Linked DNA regions of Drosophila melanogaster. The gene in region 1 interacts genetically with each later gene. Each region holds a gene or a part of one and is shown on either strand. Other genes may lie near its edges.

What was found. A genetic interaction does not mean that the proteins touch.
Region 2: of KdelR (region 1) and Manf, changing one suppresses a phenotype caused by changing the other (phenotypic suppression), as found in Drosophila melanogaster (one study listed by BioGRID).

The regions. Positions count from the first base shown.
Region 1 is NT_033779.5:10,423,664-10,430,640, forward strand, and holds KdelR (KDEL receptor), read left to right. Parts: upstream 1-3,223; 5' UTR 3,224-3,345; exon of another isoform or gene 3,346-3,412; 5' UTR 3,413-3,507; coding exon 3,508-4,146; 3' UTR 4,147-4,969; downstream 4,970-6,977. Other genes in the region: Wdfy2 (WD repeat and FYVE domain containing 2), read left to right, coding at 1-17, 88-435, 708-820, 881-1,007, 1,071-1,267, 1,329-1,609; small ribonucleoprotein particle protein SmB, read right to left, coding at 1,865-2,461, 2,831-2,833; CG5188 (uncharacterized protein), read left to right, coding at 5,185-5,267, 5,323-5,996, 6,052-6,248; Bug22 (basal body up regulated gene 22), read right to left, coding at 6,396-6,719, 6,776-6,977. UniProt on the Drosophila melanogaster protein: Required for the retention of luminal endoplasmic reticulum proteins. Determines the specificity of the luminal ER protein retention system. Also required for normal vesicular traffic through the Golgi.
Region 2 is NT_033777.3:16,346,025-16,352,666, forward strand, and holds Manf (mesencephalic astrocyte-derived neurotrophic factor), read left to right. Parts: upstream 1-3,379; 5' UTR 3,380-3,486; coding exon 3,487-3,574; intron 3,575-3,650; coding exon 3,651-3,775; intron 3,776-3,861; coding exon 3,862-4,003; intron 4,004-4,392; coding exon 4,393-4,559; 3' UTR 4,560-4,777; downstream 4,778-6,642. Other genes in the region: CG14879 (uncharacterized protein), read right to left, coding at 1,069-1,504, 2,757-2,860; CG10311 (uncharacterized protein), read right to left, coding at 5,106-5,206, 5,854-6,007, 6,065-6,307. UniProt on the Drosophila melanogaster protein: Required during the maturation of the embryonic nervous system for maintenance of neuronal and cuticular connectivity. Essential for maintenance of dopaminergic neurons and dopamine levels.

The DNA of each region.
Region 1 (6,977 bases):
AGCGTTTCCGATGACAAGTGCGTAGCTGTAGCCCATTAAAAATATACACAAATGGTATGCCTGACATTTTCATGTTTTCCCCAATAGAACCGTTCGCGTTTGGCTAAAACGCGATTCTGGTCAATATTGGCCTAGCATTTGCCAGTATATGCCTTCCGGCTGCACGGCCATCGAGTACGTTTCGGAATCCCGGCACCTGTACGTCGGCCAGGAAAACGGAACGGTCACCCAGTACGCGCTATCCGAAGACTGCAATCGCCTGTCCTTCCTGCGGGATTACTTGTCCCATCAAGCGCGGGTCATGGCCGTGGTCTTCTCGAAAACCCACAAGTGGATACTCTCCGCCGGCAAAGATAAGCAGTTCGCCTATCATTGCACGGAGAGCGGCAAACGGGTGGGCGGATACAACTTTGAGACACCATGCACGGCTCTCCAGTAAGTATGATAAATGGATGGTGAAAGGGGGAAGGGGGTGCGACAGTGGATATGGGATAAGCGGGTCATTTAATTGGATTAAACTGCTTTCTTTGACACGGCAATAAACTGCAATTCTTCACGGCTATGGAATTCATTTAGAATTTGAGAACCTTCTATTGTTAATGACGTGTCAACTGAGTCATTTTATCTACACAAAATTTTGGCATAAATGTGTGCACTGTGCGAAATATTCTATAAGCAACATATAATTAATTATAATCTGCGTTTAGGTTCGACGCTTTGGCCAAGTATGCCTTTGTGGGCGATCATGCTGGACAGATAACAATGCTAAGGTGCGATGTTCAGGGAGTGCAACTAATTACCACTTTCAATGGACATTCGGGTAAACAAGTTACAAATGATATTTAGTAAGCTAATTATATACGAATTGGTTAATTTTTAGCGGAAATCCGGTGCCTCAAATGGGTGGAAGGCCCTCAGCTCTTGTTTAGCGGAGCTTGCGATCAGTCCGTGCTAGTTTGGGATGTTGGTGGCAAACGTGGCACCATTTACGAGCTGCAGGGACATAGGTATCTCCAATCTTAAATAATATTCATAAAATAAGATAGTAATCGGCACTTCTGATTATGTAGCAACAAAGTTTCCGCCCTGTCGTACGCGAATCACACGCAACAACTGATAAGCTGTGGCGAAGATTCAGTAGTGGTTTTTTGGGAAATGAATGCAATGCGGAAAGAGGTTCCTGGCTGGGTGGATACCAACAACTGTCAGCTTTGCTCCAGGCCCTTCTTCTGGAACTTCCGCTCAATGATGGATCAAAAGCAGCTGGGTGAGATAAATAGCTTACACTTGAGTTACTCTTTGTTTTACAAGTAATTTCTGACTGTCAGGAATACGACAGCATCATTGTCGCCACTGCGGCAAAGCCGTGTGCGACAACTGTTCCACCAATCGCATTAACATACCCATAATGGGCTTCGAGTTTGATGTGCGTACCTGTGATCCGTGCTACAAACAACTTCAGACAGTCGAGCGCCCCTCGCTGGCTTCATTCAATGACGCCAAGCATTCGATCGTCTACATGGACCTGGACGAGGACAGAAAGCGCCTGTTGACAGTGGGCCAGGACAGGCTCATCAAGATCTGGGATCTCTCCAACATCTGGGCATAAAACATCCTGTACGCACACGCACGTACCAAAGGTATAATCATTCACGAGGCGTTTCGGTCTTAACTGGAACACCCAATTAACGAACGATGTGGCTGGCAACGACCAAATCCAGTCCCTGCTGCTTAGGTTCTCATATAATTGATGTAAAGCAATAATCATTGTATGTACGTATGCTTACATTCAACACATAAATACACGAATCCATCGATTAAGTGGTGTTTTCTAAATGAGTTTTTATTAGATTGTACTTTATACTTAATAGCCACCCCTGCCCGGTGGTGGTGCTCCACGGATCATGCTGGGCGGCGGTCCGCGCATCGGTGGCGGAGCACCGCGTCCCATGTTTCCTGGCATCGAGGGCATGCCGCCGGGAATCATGCCCGGTGGCGGTGCACCCATCATCGGTGCTCGTGGCACTCCTCGTCCCATCGGAGCCATGTGCTGTTGGGCGGGTCCGCCCACACCTCTCACGGGACCCTGGAGACCCGCTGGCACGGCGGACAAGTTGATAGGCATTCCGCGTCCGGCCACGCGACCGATTCCCGGACCAGGAGCTGCTCCCGGAATGGGAACTCGGGGCAGGCCCTCCTCTGGCGGCGGTGGTCCCTCCACCGTCAGTGAAACTATGTTCTCGCCGCGCAGCAATACAAAGCCCAGCACGCGCTTCTCCTCGCGCTCGGGCACCTTGGAATTCTTCGAGCGAATCTTCCGGAACTCCTCGCAGTCGCCGAGGATCAAGTTCATGTGTTTGTCGAAGGCTTTGAAGGTACCGATGAAGGTACGCGAGTCCTGCAGCACGATTCGCACCCGATAATTCAGGTGCTGAATCATTTTGTTGTTCTTGCCGATCGTCTGAAATAAAGGAATTCAAAGGATTTAATTGTGAAATACAATAGCATGCATAAAAGTCGCGCCATCTTTTGTAAACCATTTCGACCCTTTAAAAAAGCCGGTATTTATAAAAATTTTAATAAACCACAGAGTTTGAAATAGCAAATCTCAGCGTAATATCGAAGATCACTAAAAATCATAATTTTAAACAAATATAAAATAGTTAATTAGCCAAAACAAATTGTTTTATTTATTCGCATGCATGTTTGTATGTATGTATGCCTATGTAAATACGAAATCGCAACCGCGAAAGTAAGAATCTATGAATTAATACAACTAAACAAAACTTAACCATTGCAGTCAGATGCTTAAAACAGTGTTTTTACTTACCATTTTATTTGATTTCTATGTTAATTCTATCGCTTGTAAATAAAATACAGATGCCGGAACCTCACCACGGCTTTTTTCGATAGGCATGAAGAATAAATCGAGTGGCGTGTGCGGCGGTCAGCATTTTCTGGTGTCTTTCAATCGAGCCTATCGAATATAAATTTTTTATTGATAATCCACATGATTTTTTAAACAAACATTCGACTATCCCTAGCAAAAGAAGAGAAAAAAATTAAATTTTTTTTAAATCTTATGATAAAAAACGAAAAAAGAAAAAATTTGAATCAGTATGTTTTTTCTCAATTTTTTTCGTTAGAGATGGTCGAATTTTCATTAAAAAAATCATGTGGCGGCACTTATCGATATCGATAGGCAGTGGCCATGTTATCAAACTTATTCTTATTCATCAGCCACGTCATTGTTTATGCCGACATTCTGACAAGTTTTTTTCCGAAGCGGCAAAGCCCTCACATCTCTACTCGTTGGCAAATTAGGCGAAAAGTCATTTTGGTAACGTATGCAGCTGTTGAAACACTGAATGCCGCCATTATTGCTATAGTATACACTCCCATTTTCATATAGGCGTGCGTTCCGTGACGCAGCCGCAGCGAAAGGAAGTAGAACAATCAAACAGCCAACCGGGCAGCCAAGTAGCCAAGTCGGCGGATTAGATCACGATGAATATCTTTCGCTTTGCTGGGGATCTGTCGCATGTGTTTGCCATCATAATACTGCTGCTGAAGATATGGAAGACCCGCTCGTGCGCCGGAATATCGGGCAAGTCGCAGATCCTGTTCGCCGTGGTCTATCTGACGCGCTACCTGGATCTGTTCACCACCTACGTGAGCCTGTACAACTCGGTGATGAAGGTGTTGTTCCTGGCCACGTCCGGTGCCACCGTGTATTTGATGTACGTGAAGTTTAAGGCCACCTATGACCACAATCACGATTCGTTCCGCATCGAATTCCTGCTGGTGCCGTGCGCCCTGCTCTCGCTGGTGATCAATCATGAGTTTACCGTGATGGAAGTGCTGTGGACATTCTCGATCTATTTGGAATCGGTGGCCATTCTGCCGCAGCTGTTCCTAGTGAGCAGAACCGGCGAGGCCGAGTCCATCACCAGCCACTACCTCTTCGCCCTGGGATCGTACCGTGCACTCTACTTGCTCAACTGGGTCTACCGGTACATGGTCGAGTCGCACTACGACCTTATCGCGATCTTCGCCGGAGTTGTCCAGACCGTCTTGTACTGCGACTTCTTCTACTTATACATTACCAAAGTTCTTAAGGGCAAGAAGCTCCAGCTGCCGGCATAAGCGGATGATGGATAAGTGCATAGATGTGGGACATTTGTGTTTTGTCGGCACACATCATCAATCGACGTCAGAGTAAACAAGCGAGCGATCCACGGCCCGTTTGACAACGCGTATTTCGTTCATATTATACAAAAGATACATAATCGAGGGGAGCGCCTAAGTTGTAATTATTTAATGAGAAATAAACCGAAAATCGAAAGTACACTATAAACTATGCAATACCGACATCGTACATTGAAAATGTAACAAATGTATTAATCTCCGTTTTCCGAACTGCACTCACAAATTTTAGAATCCAAAAATATTAAAAAAAAAAATCATTACTCCAGTAAGAGATAACGTTAATTGACAAAATCGAAACAAATGTTTTCTCTTTTGCGCGGAGGCTTATCTGATTCGCAATAGTATCACAGAAGAGGTCATAGATTTCTTTGTTTAATTAAGAATTTAAAGTTATGCATTAAATAGCTCTTAAGTCGACTGTATCCTAAAAATCCGAGTAAAGTTAAGTCTTATTGTGTGGCTAATAGTAAAGTAAATGATGAGCGATGTCAACATATAATACACATAATATTCTGAAAAATAGGCCGCAGGATCGTAGGAACTCCATGTGCTGTTTTGCACAACTTCTATTGAATTCCGAAAAGATATATTAAATTTCTGCAACACCCTCGTTTCCCCTTGCACGCTTCGCAGTCATGCCAGATGCAAATGGAAAATTTAATTTATATGGAGATCATGTACGAAACAAATACGAACCTAATGTGGCATAAATAATATTTTAAACACTTTTGCAGATATTATATTATAAACAAAGTACAATAAACAACTCGATTTTCTTTTATTTATTAGATTACAATGCAAAGAGTTAGTAAGGATGTATAAATATATATTACATCTCTATAAATTGTTTAGTTTCCAAAAACTTGAAGCACTGTGCCGTTATCAAAAAAGGGGGAATACCCCTAACACTCGGCTGTTATCTGTAAAAATATTTACAGCACTGCCACACTGCAAAAATGTCATAATCAAAACAAAATGAGAAGAATTGGTCTTTTAAATAGTTTAATGCGCCAGAAAACGACTGCCAGAAACTTGTTTCAGTTCGGCAAAGTTAAGGGGTATGGGCTCCGGCTTATCTCTTTCAGGACTCTATTCTGATGGGTATACTTACAGAGATACTGGCAAATATGAACAGATCGTGTCCACCGGCCAAGTTTCCCCGGAACGTTTTGTGCCCGAGGAGATCAAGAAACCGGCGTACTACTTCAAGAATATGCCACCGGGTAACACGCTGGGATCGCCCGAAATCAAAAGCCAGGTTCAGATTGATGCCATGCGTCTAAGCGGCAGACTGGCGGCCAGGATACTGCGCGAATGCGGTAAACTAGCAACAGTTGGCACAACCACCGATCAGATTGATGCCTTTGCGCATGAAAGAATTCTCGAGTCCAAAGCGTATCCGTCGCCGCTGAGATACGCCGGCTTCCCAAAGTCCATTTGCACGTCGATCAACAATATCGCCTGTCACGGAATTCCGGATGACCGGCAGTTGGCCGATGGGGATATTATAAATATTGATGTCACAGTCTTTTTGAACGGCTACCATGGCGACTGTTCGGAAACATTTCGGGTGGGCAACGTGGACGAACGGGGTGGCTTTCTCGTGGAGGCCACTAAATCCTGTTTGGATCAGTGCATTTCGCTGTGCGGCCCCGGTGTGGAATTCAATGAGATTGGAAAGTTCATAGACAGATATTGCGACGAACATGATCTGGCATCGATAGCTGCTTTCATTGGACATGGAATCGGTAGCTATTTCCACGGCCCCCCGGAGATACTACACTATTGTAAGTAAGACTGTTTAAGAGACTCCTCCATTGCTAATCAAACTGCACATCGTAGATAATGAGATTCCTGGAAAGATGCAGCCCGGCATGACCTTCACCATTGAACCCATTCTGTCCCTGGGCGGAGCAGAAATAGCAGTGCTGCAAGATGGCTGGACGGCCATTAGTTTGGATGGCGCACGTAGCGCCCAGTTCGAGCACACCATTCTGATAACCGAGACGGGAACGGAGATACTTACAAGAGATCAATAGAATTTTATGTACATGATGCAATTTTTATTCGTGATTCCCATAAAGTGTTGAATGAGTGCTGGATGGCAGTCTTGTGCATTTTGTGCCGTTTTAATCGTCGACTCCGTCTGGTTAGGTGCTCTAATTGATTGATGATGCATACAGAATTTAGCTACAAATCGCATTGGACTTCTGCACCGGCTTCTGAATGGGAAGGAAGAGCTTAAACTCCGGCGGCAGCTCGTCCTCCGAGTAGAGACGATCGGAGAAGTAGACGCGTCTGATGCGGCAATTTGCATGAATCTGTACACGGAGTGTCTCCACATAATTGGTGCCGTATGCGCGACGCGTGAAGTCGGACAGGTTGAACTGGATCTGGTTCCATCCCTCGTCCAATCGCATGGGCATGGTGCAAATGAAAGGCTTGACACGAGTTGTCGACTGGTAGTTACTGGCCCTAAACCTTCGCCGCACGTTCTTGTCATCGAGAACCTGATTAGGGGCGGAAATCATGGAGTTACTGTCTTATGCAAGATGACGAAGCTTACCTGAACCTCGAAGGTGAAGTACTTCTTCATGTTCTTGATGATCATCACCAGGAAGGGCAGCTTGATGCCCAGCGTCTTCTTCGGATCTGCCGGACATGTTATGAACGTGGTGCTGACATTGGTGCCGACTATTTCCAACACGAGGCTTTGTATGTCGTTGTCGGTGATCCGCTTGATGTGTCCATTGCGCACCTTCTTATCC
Region 2 (6,642 bases), on another chromosome or scaffold:
ATTCTAAATCTACCATGCGAACAAACGAAAAACAAATGCAAGCATGTTTCCCATCGGTTTCCGAACAAAAATTTATTAGCATTTAAGAATACCAATTCCAATGAATTTGTGTTTACGCATTTAATTTGTGGAAAACGCACTTGTCATGCGATTTTTAATACTTGGCGTGGTCTGTATACATATGTATGTAGGTATTACAGGTAAAGCTAACACTTACATTGTAGGTTTACAATCTGAATGGAAGACTTTAGCAAGCGCGAAACAGAAACTCAAGGTGTATTATACATAAAATTCTTTGGCCTTACAAATACGTTTGCTATCAACTACAAACAAAGAAACAATTAGCAACTGCAAAGGATAGCAATAGGACATAGCAGAGCTAAAGTGACGTCATAAGACAGATAGCACCGAGGTGAGTGATATGTGACTGACATATATATGTATGTATGTAGTCCGTGAATGTGTGTTTGTTAATGCTGATTTGGTTTATCAAACAATGGAATATTATCAAACTCTTACGGCATCATAAAGATATAAGTGGAAAACGCTGCAATCCAGCAATACTATTGAAAATGATATTGCCTTATGTTGCAAGAAATGGGGCATAAAACCTATTCAAATGCCAATTAAAATTTTGAGTACTTTTAAAATTTTAAACAATTTAACATAGAACGTAAAGAAAACAGGTGTTTCAATTAAATTTTTGAGATTTTTGCAAATAAATAAATATTGGTTTAATACTGTTAAAAAACCACAATCATCTTGATGGGAAAATGTTTCTTAAGCCCACGATCAACAAGAACTTGTAGTCAAATTATAATGATACTCAACGCATTAACAAGCGAAGGAGTGAAAGCGTGTTGCTACTGCAGCGAAGTGATTTAGATGGGTGCGGAATCCAACAAACTAATTAAAACTACAGGTGAGGGGATTAAGGTCGTGCGGTGTTAGGACTAAGGACGCCCGCCACCGAACTTGAATCTATGCGATTGAAGAAAGAATGCATTAAATAAGAGAACATTGCGGGCTACCTTGGGGATCATGGGATCTTTGGGATTCTTCTCCCGATCAGTTGTAGCTTAGGGCAAACTGGTTGACCTTCTGTACATCGCCCCACACCTGTACAGCCTGGATGTCGGACAGGGAGAAGAGAGTCTCGTACTCGGTTATGAAATTGTGGCCCGAATCCCTACCCTGGTACACCCGCATCATTGAATTTGCGTAGTCGAAGGCGAACTCAAGGCAAAAGGAGGACTCTGTGGATGAAAGTTGGAGCGCCTCGTCAATTTCGGTTATAATGCGGGCAAAGCTTTCTGTCATATTGGGGTTCTTATCGCTAGCTCCTGTACCGTCGAAGATGTTCAGGTACTTCTCCTGGTGCAGGCTGCTCCACTCGCCGTTCCGCTTATAATTCTCGATAATCGTCTGTGTGGGAATCACCACCTTGAAGTGGTATGTGATGTTGTCCGTGCAGTCCGGACTGTTGACAAAGTTCACCGAGAATCTGTAGCGGAGGTAAACATACAAATGCTTGTTAAAAAAATCAGATGTATATGTCTCACTTAGGTGCTAATGAACTAGCTACTAGCTAAAAATTAACTTAATACGTGCCTAGCGACATAGTCTTCACTATGCATTTGATCAAAGGCGGTAAATAGCAAAGTGTGAATGAAGTAAATATGATATGCATATTTTATATTCAATAAAATCACAAGCACTAGTAGTACCCTCGCTTAAAGCGATATAACTTATCACATATCAGTGCTAATGACGTCGTTATTTGATTGTTTGACCCCCTCAAGCGCTTAGTCATCAGAATTGTTTAAATGGCACATGCTGGTTCGGTGAGTTTTTTTCTTTCGTTTTTGGGGACCGGAGCTCCCAGACATTAATAGTGAGTGTGAGTAGGCGCGAAAACGTGCAGCGCATTCAAGGAACGGAATTGGAATTTTCAGCGATTTATTGTTAAAAATCCGTTAGTCAAGCTATGGAATTTCCAGTAAGTTATGCCCCTTATCGAAATACAAGAGCTACTAGTGTCACGGAATATTATCATGACACATTTAGGTAGCTATCACTAGAACCTTATCGATCTAAAGAACAGATAAGAAATGTATTGTCTTGATTTATCAATTGCGTTGAAATTGTTCAATTAGAAACCCGGATTCTTGAGTGATGTAACTGATGGTTCTGATTAATGGACATCATTTGACCATTCATTCATAAGCTGATTAACAACTTCCCACCCTCAAGCATACATAATTCATGGTATTATTCTTTGCCATCCAACTGGCTTGTTGTTTTCTTCATAGCCGGCATCTTCAGCGCGTGTCTGATTCAATTTTAGTCTGGTGATGTCATATACGATGGACTTGATACAGTAAAACCAGACGACTACGTATACATCTGGCAGAGATTTCTTTATGGTCCCATCACCACCGCCTTATCGCCCTAATAGATCATAAACTCATAAGAGGTCTTTGGAATTTATAAAAAACAAACATCATCTGGCAGAAGAAGTATAAATTATTTAAATTCATGAGCCCATTTGCATGTTTTTTGTGTGCGCCATAAATTGTTCGCGAGTTTGGTGAGTATTTCGTCTAATCGGGTCACATACGTAAACGATTTTAAGAACACTATATTTATATTTTCAGCACGCAAAGAGGCAATTTCTCCACCTCAGTTCGCGGGAAGTGGCTAATCGATTTTCTTAAAGTTCGCGGAATTTAAACGCGAAATATCAAAGGACTCACTGCTGGGGATCCTGGAGCAGGTTGCCGCTGATGGACAGCCGGGTTACTCGATCCGAGGTACTGGCATTGGTGGGCAGCACGGCAAAGAACTTCACATCAGGCATTTTAAACGATTTATTATAATGGGCTGCTTCTTTTCCGTTTTATTTTTAGCAAGGTGTGTAATTGCAAATTTTATCCGGATAATTGTAAATACGTTTGCTGTGGCAGTTGCCAACGGTTACAATAACTCCAAATAGCCGAGGGAGTAGTGAGCACTTGGACGACTTGGTCAATACTGTTGGCGATTACACAGATACGGTGCTATATTAAGGGACTGGAAGAGGATTAAGTCCAAGACTACGTCACGGGCAACGTGCAGTCGAGCATATTTGCTTAGCTTTAACTAATTTAAATAATTCCACGACGCGCAGTTCCGTTCGCATTCGCGCGTGATTGAAAACTGAGCAGGAGTGCCTCTGCGTAAAACGGAGCAGCTGAGCGATCCCCACACCTGTTAGCCAGTAAATTCCGGACCCCGATAGTATGACCATATCGGTTGTTTTCCAATTTGAAAACGTGGCGCTGCCCCGCCGATAAATGAGTACTTTTATCGATGCCTGACCTATCGGTGAACACCCATATCTACGGCCACCTAACGCTAACAATTCGGGGACAAAATCAAATCGCATGCAAAGAATTCAGTACAGTTAATTAAAGTACGCTCAAGCACAGTCGAAGTAATAACAAAATGAAGACGTGGTACATGGTGGTAGTGATCGGCTTCCTGGCGACGTTGGCCCAAACGTCGCTGGCCCTGAAAGAGGAGGACTGCGAAGGTATGTGATTGGCCACGTAAGTGGTTGAGATGTTCTGGAACAGATTTTCACCGGGCTCCATTCTTTCGTTCCGCAGTTTGCGTCAAGACGGTTAGGCGGTTCGCAGATTCGCTGGACGACTCCACCAAGAAGGACTACAAACAGATCGAAACGGCCTTCAAAAAGTTCTGCAAAGCGCAGAAAAACAAGGAACACAGATTCGTGAGTAGCCGGCAAACAAGTGCCGCCCCCTCTCCCTCACTTCCTATTCTCTGGGAAAAATGATACACGTATGCGTTTCTTCGTAGTGTTACTACCTCGGCGGTCTGGAAGAATCCGCCACGGGCATCCTCAACGAGCTGAGCAAACCCCTCAGTTGGTCCATGCCAGCTGAGAAGATCTGCGAGAAGCTGAAGAAGAAGGACGCACAAATCTGCGACCTTCGCTATGGTAAATATTTTAGTTAGGAACTATACATATATAGGAAGTGTGGGTATACAGAATTCAATATGAAGCACCTAGCATTTCTTGGCAAAAGGAAAGAATTCAGGAATACAATTTCGCATGTATGCTTTACTATTATATCATAGCTTGTTAAATTATTTTGTGGTAACTCGCATAAAATTCTACATTTTATGAGATAGGTCTGTTTGTAAAATGAATGTTAATGGTTTAGATTATTAGAAAACGTTAATCGTCATTTACTAAGAGTCAATTAATCTAGGGTGTCTATTAGAAACAAAAACTCTTAACTTGGCTTAACATTTAGCTTTTCTGTCGCTGCTCTTCGCCTTAATATACTTCTATAAACATTTATTTATGTGGATTGTTCATTGCAGAGAAACAAATCGATCTGAACAGCGTGGACCTGAAGAAGCTGAAGGTACGCGACCTGAAGAAAATCCTCAACGACTGGGACGAGAGCTGTGACGGTTGCCTGGAGAAGGGCGACTTCATCAAGCGTATCGAGGAGCTGAAGCCCAAGTACTCGCGCAGCGAGCTGTAGAGCGCAGTCAGTTACTTGTGTAGTTACATGGAACACGCCCACTTAGCTAAAACAACAACCACATGAAACGCCCCCTACACATCCATATTTTTAGTTAATTTACAATTTTGATAGACTTTGAGAGAATTGAATATAACTATATATGCCTAAAGATAAAACCTATATTTTGAAATAAAAAACAACAAACACACAAGACCTCGTCCTCTCAAACGGTTGATAAATAGTTTGTTTTTATTTTTGTTATTAGTTTTCGGTTTTTGAACTCCTCTTTCACAATTACAAGTATTACGTACAAATTACAACAGAAATTCACATAATATCTGGATTAAAGTTTTATTTAAATGTTAAATACATAATTCCATTGCACTTAATGCCACGGGCCGCGTAAATTCGATGTGAGCGAAGGGCTGGCTCGCCTCAACTAAATTATAATTATTAGTTAGACATAATCACTAAAAACGAACATAGGAAGCTAGGATGAAGATGTGTGGGTGGTGGATTCAGCTTCTTGAATGCAATTTCTGATGAATAGTGCTCCTGGAGATTCTAGCGACGGTACGGCTGCTTGTTGTAACGACCGCGCTCGTTCTCCTCGGACAGGTTGGCGTATTCACTATAGACCACGCACCAGCAATAGGTCATAATCGCTGAAAGATGGAGGAGGAACATTGGGTTAGGGCATGTGCGCGCAAAAGAGTGCTGTCATTTTATATTCTACATGAATTGCATCCGATTTTACACGATGTAATGTAAATTGACTTTTAACTCGTATGTGGTTCATTTTCGGTAAGCACTTAATTTTTATCAAATTTAATATGCAAATTTGTAAAACTTGAAAAATATCATTTTTCAAAAGTAAAAAAAAAGCGAGGAATATATGTATAAACCTGAAGCATTCACAATGTGATTCGGTTCTTTAACTTTTATACCGCTGAATTAATACAATTAAATTTGTTTGATTCATTTAATGAGCTTATTTAACAATCGTATAGCTTTCCCAATAAACTCCTATCAAAGTTCTGCAGCTGACATTTCTACAAATGGCCTCAACAAGCCACTTTGCGCCTCATTTGCTTGCACCACCCGGCAAGTTACCTCCAAAATCCTCTAGTCTGCGGCGCCGGGGCACTTCTGTTTTCAGCACACGGGCAATCATGGCATGATAAATGCGTCTATAAATTAAAAACGGCTCGCAATAACCGTCATCCGGTGCTAAAAACCGCACATGGAGAAGTAGCAAGACCCCCCCCCCCCCCTCACCCATTTTTCACCAACCAAGAGGGAGTGCACTTACCGCAGACAATTAGGCCGAAGATCAGCCAGAGGACTCCCGTCAGCACGTAGCCGTCGATGAAGAAGACGATGCCCGTGTAGATGACGGAGATCAGCAGACCGATGGCAATCATAATGCCGAGGACCACCCATGGAACCATCAGGTAGTGGTTCCGCTGGAACATAGATAGATTTTTATTGTATGCATTTAATTAAATTAGCTGAGTACACACCTTCAGGGCACCAATGATCATGAGCAGCGATATCAAGATCGTCATGCACAAATTGATGACTAGAATTATCTTAACAATGTCATTGGGGATGAAGTCAAAGATTATCGTCTTGAAGTGCACCCGCGTCGTGAAGATCACCACGATGGTGATGATCGACAGGACTATCGCCAGTATGCCCGAGATAACGGAGCCATTCCGGGTCGATTGGCACAGACAGCACGAATTTAACAGTGGCTTCGGCATTTTGGCAAATCTATATTGTGATTACCAGCTGAAAATATTAAGAAACACAATCATCAATTTCAAGTACCATTTTGAACACATATAACTTAAAAGAATAAAAACACAGCAATAGAATAGTGAGTAAGTTCTCGATATACTCATGTAAAACTAGACAAAGATATGTTTTGTAACTTAATTGAAATATCCGAACTATTGCAAAAGTAAAGACAACCAATACTACAACATTAAAATTCCACAGTTTTACCAGTTGTGACGTCAAGCACACAAAAAAAATAAATGTTTATTAAACAAATGTGCTTTAAAAATAGAAGAAACAAAGAAAACAATGGACAGAA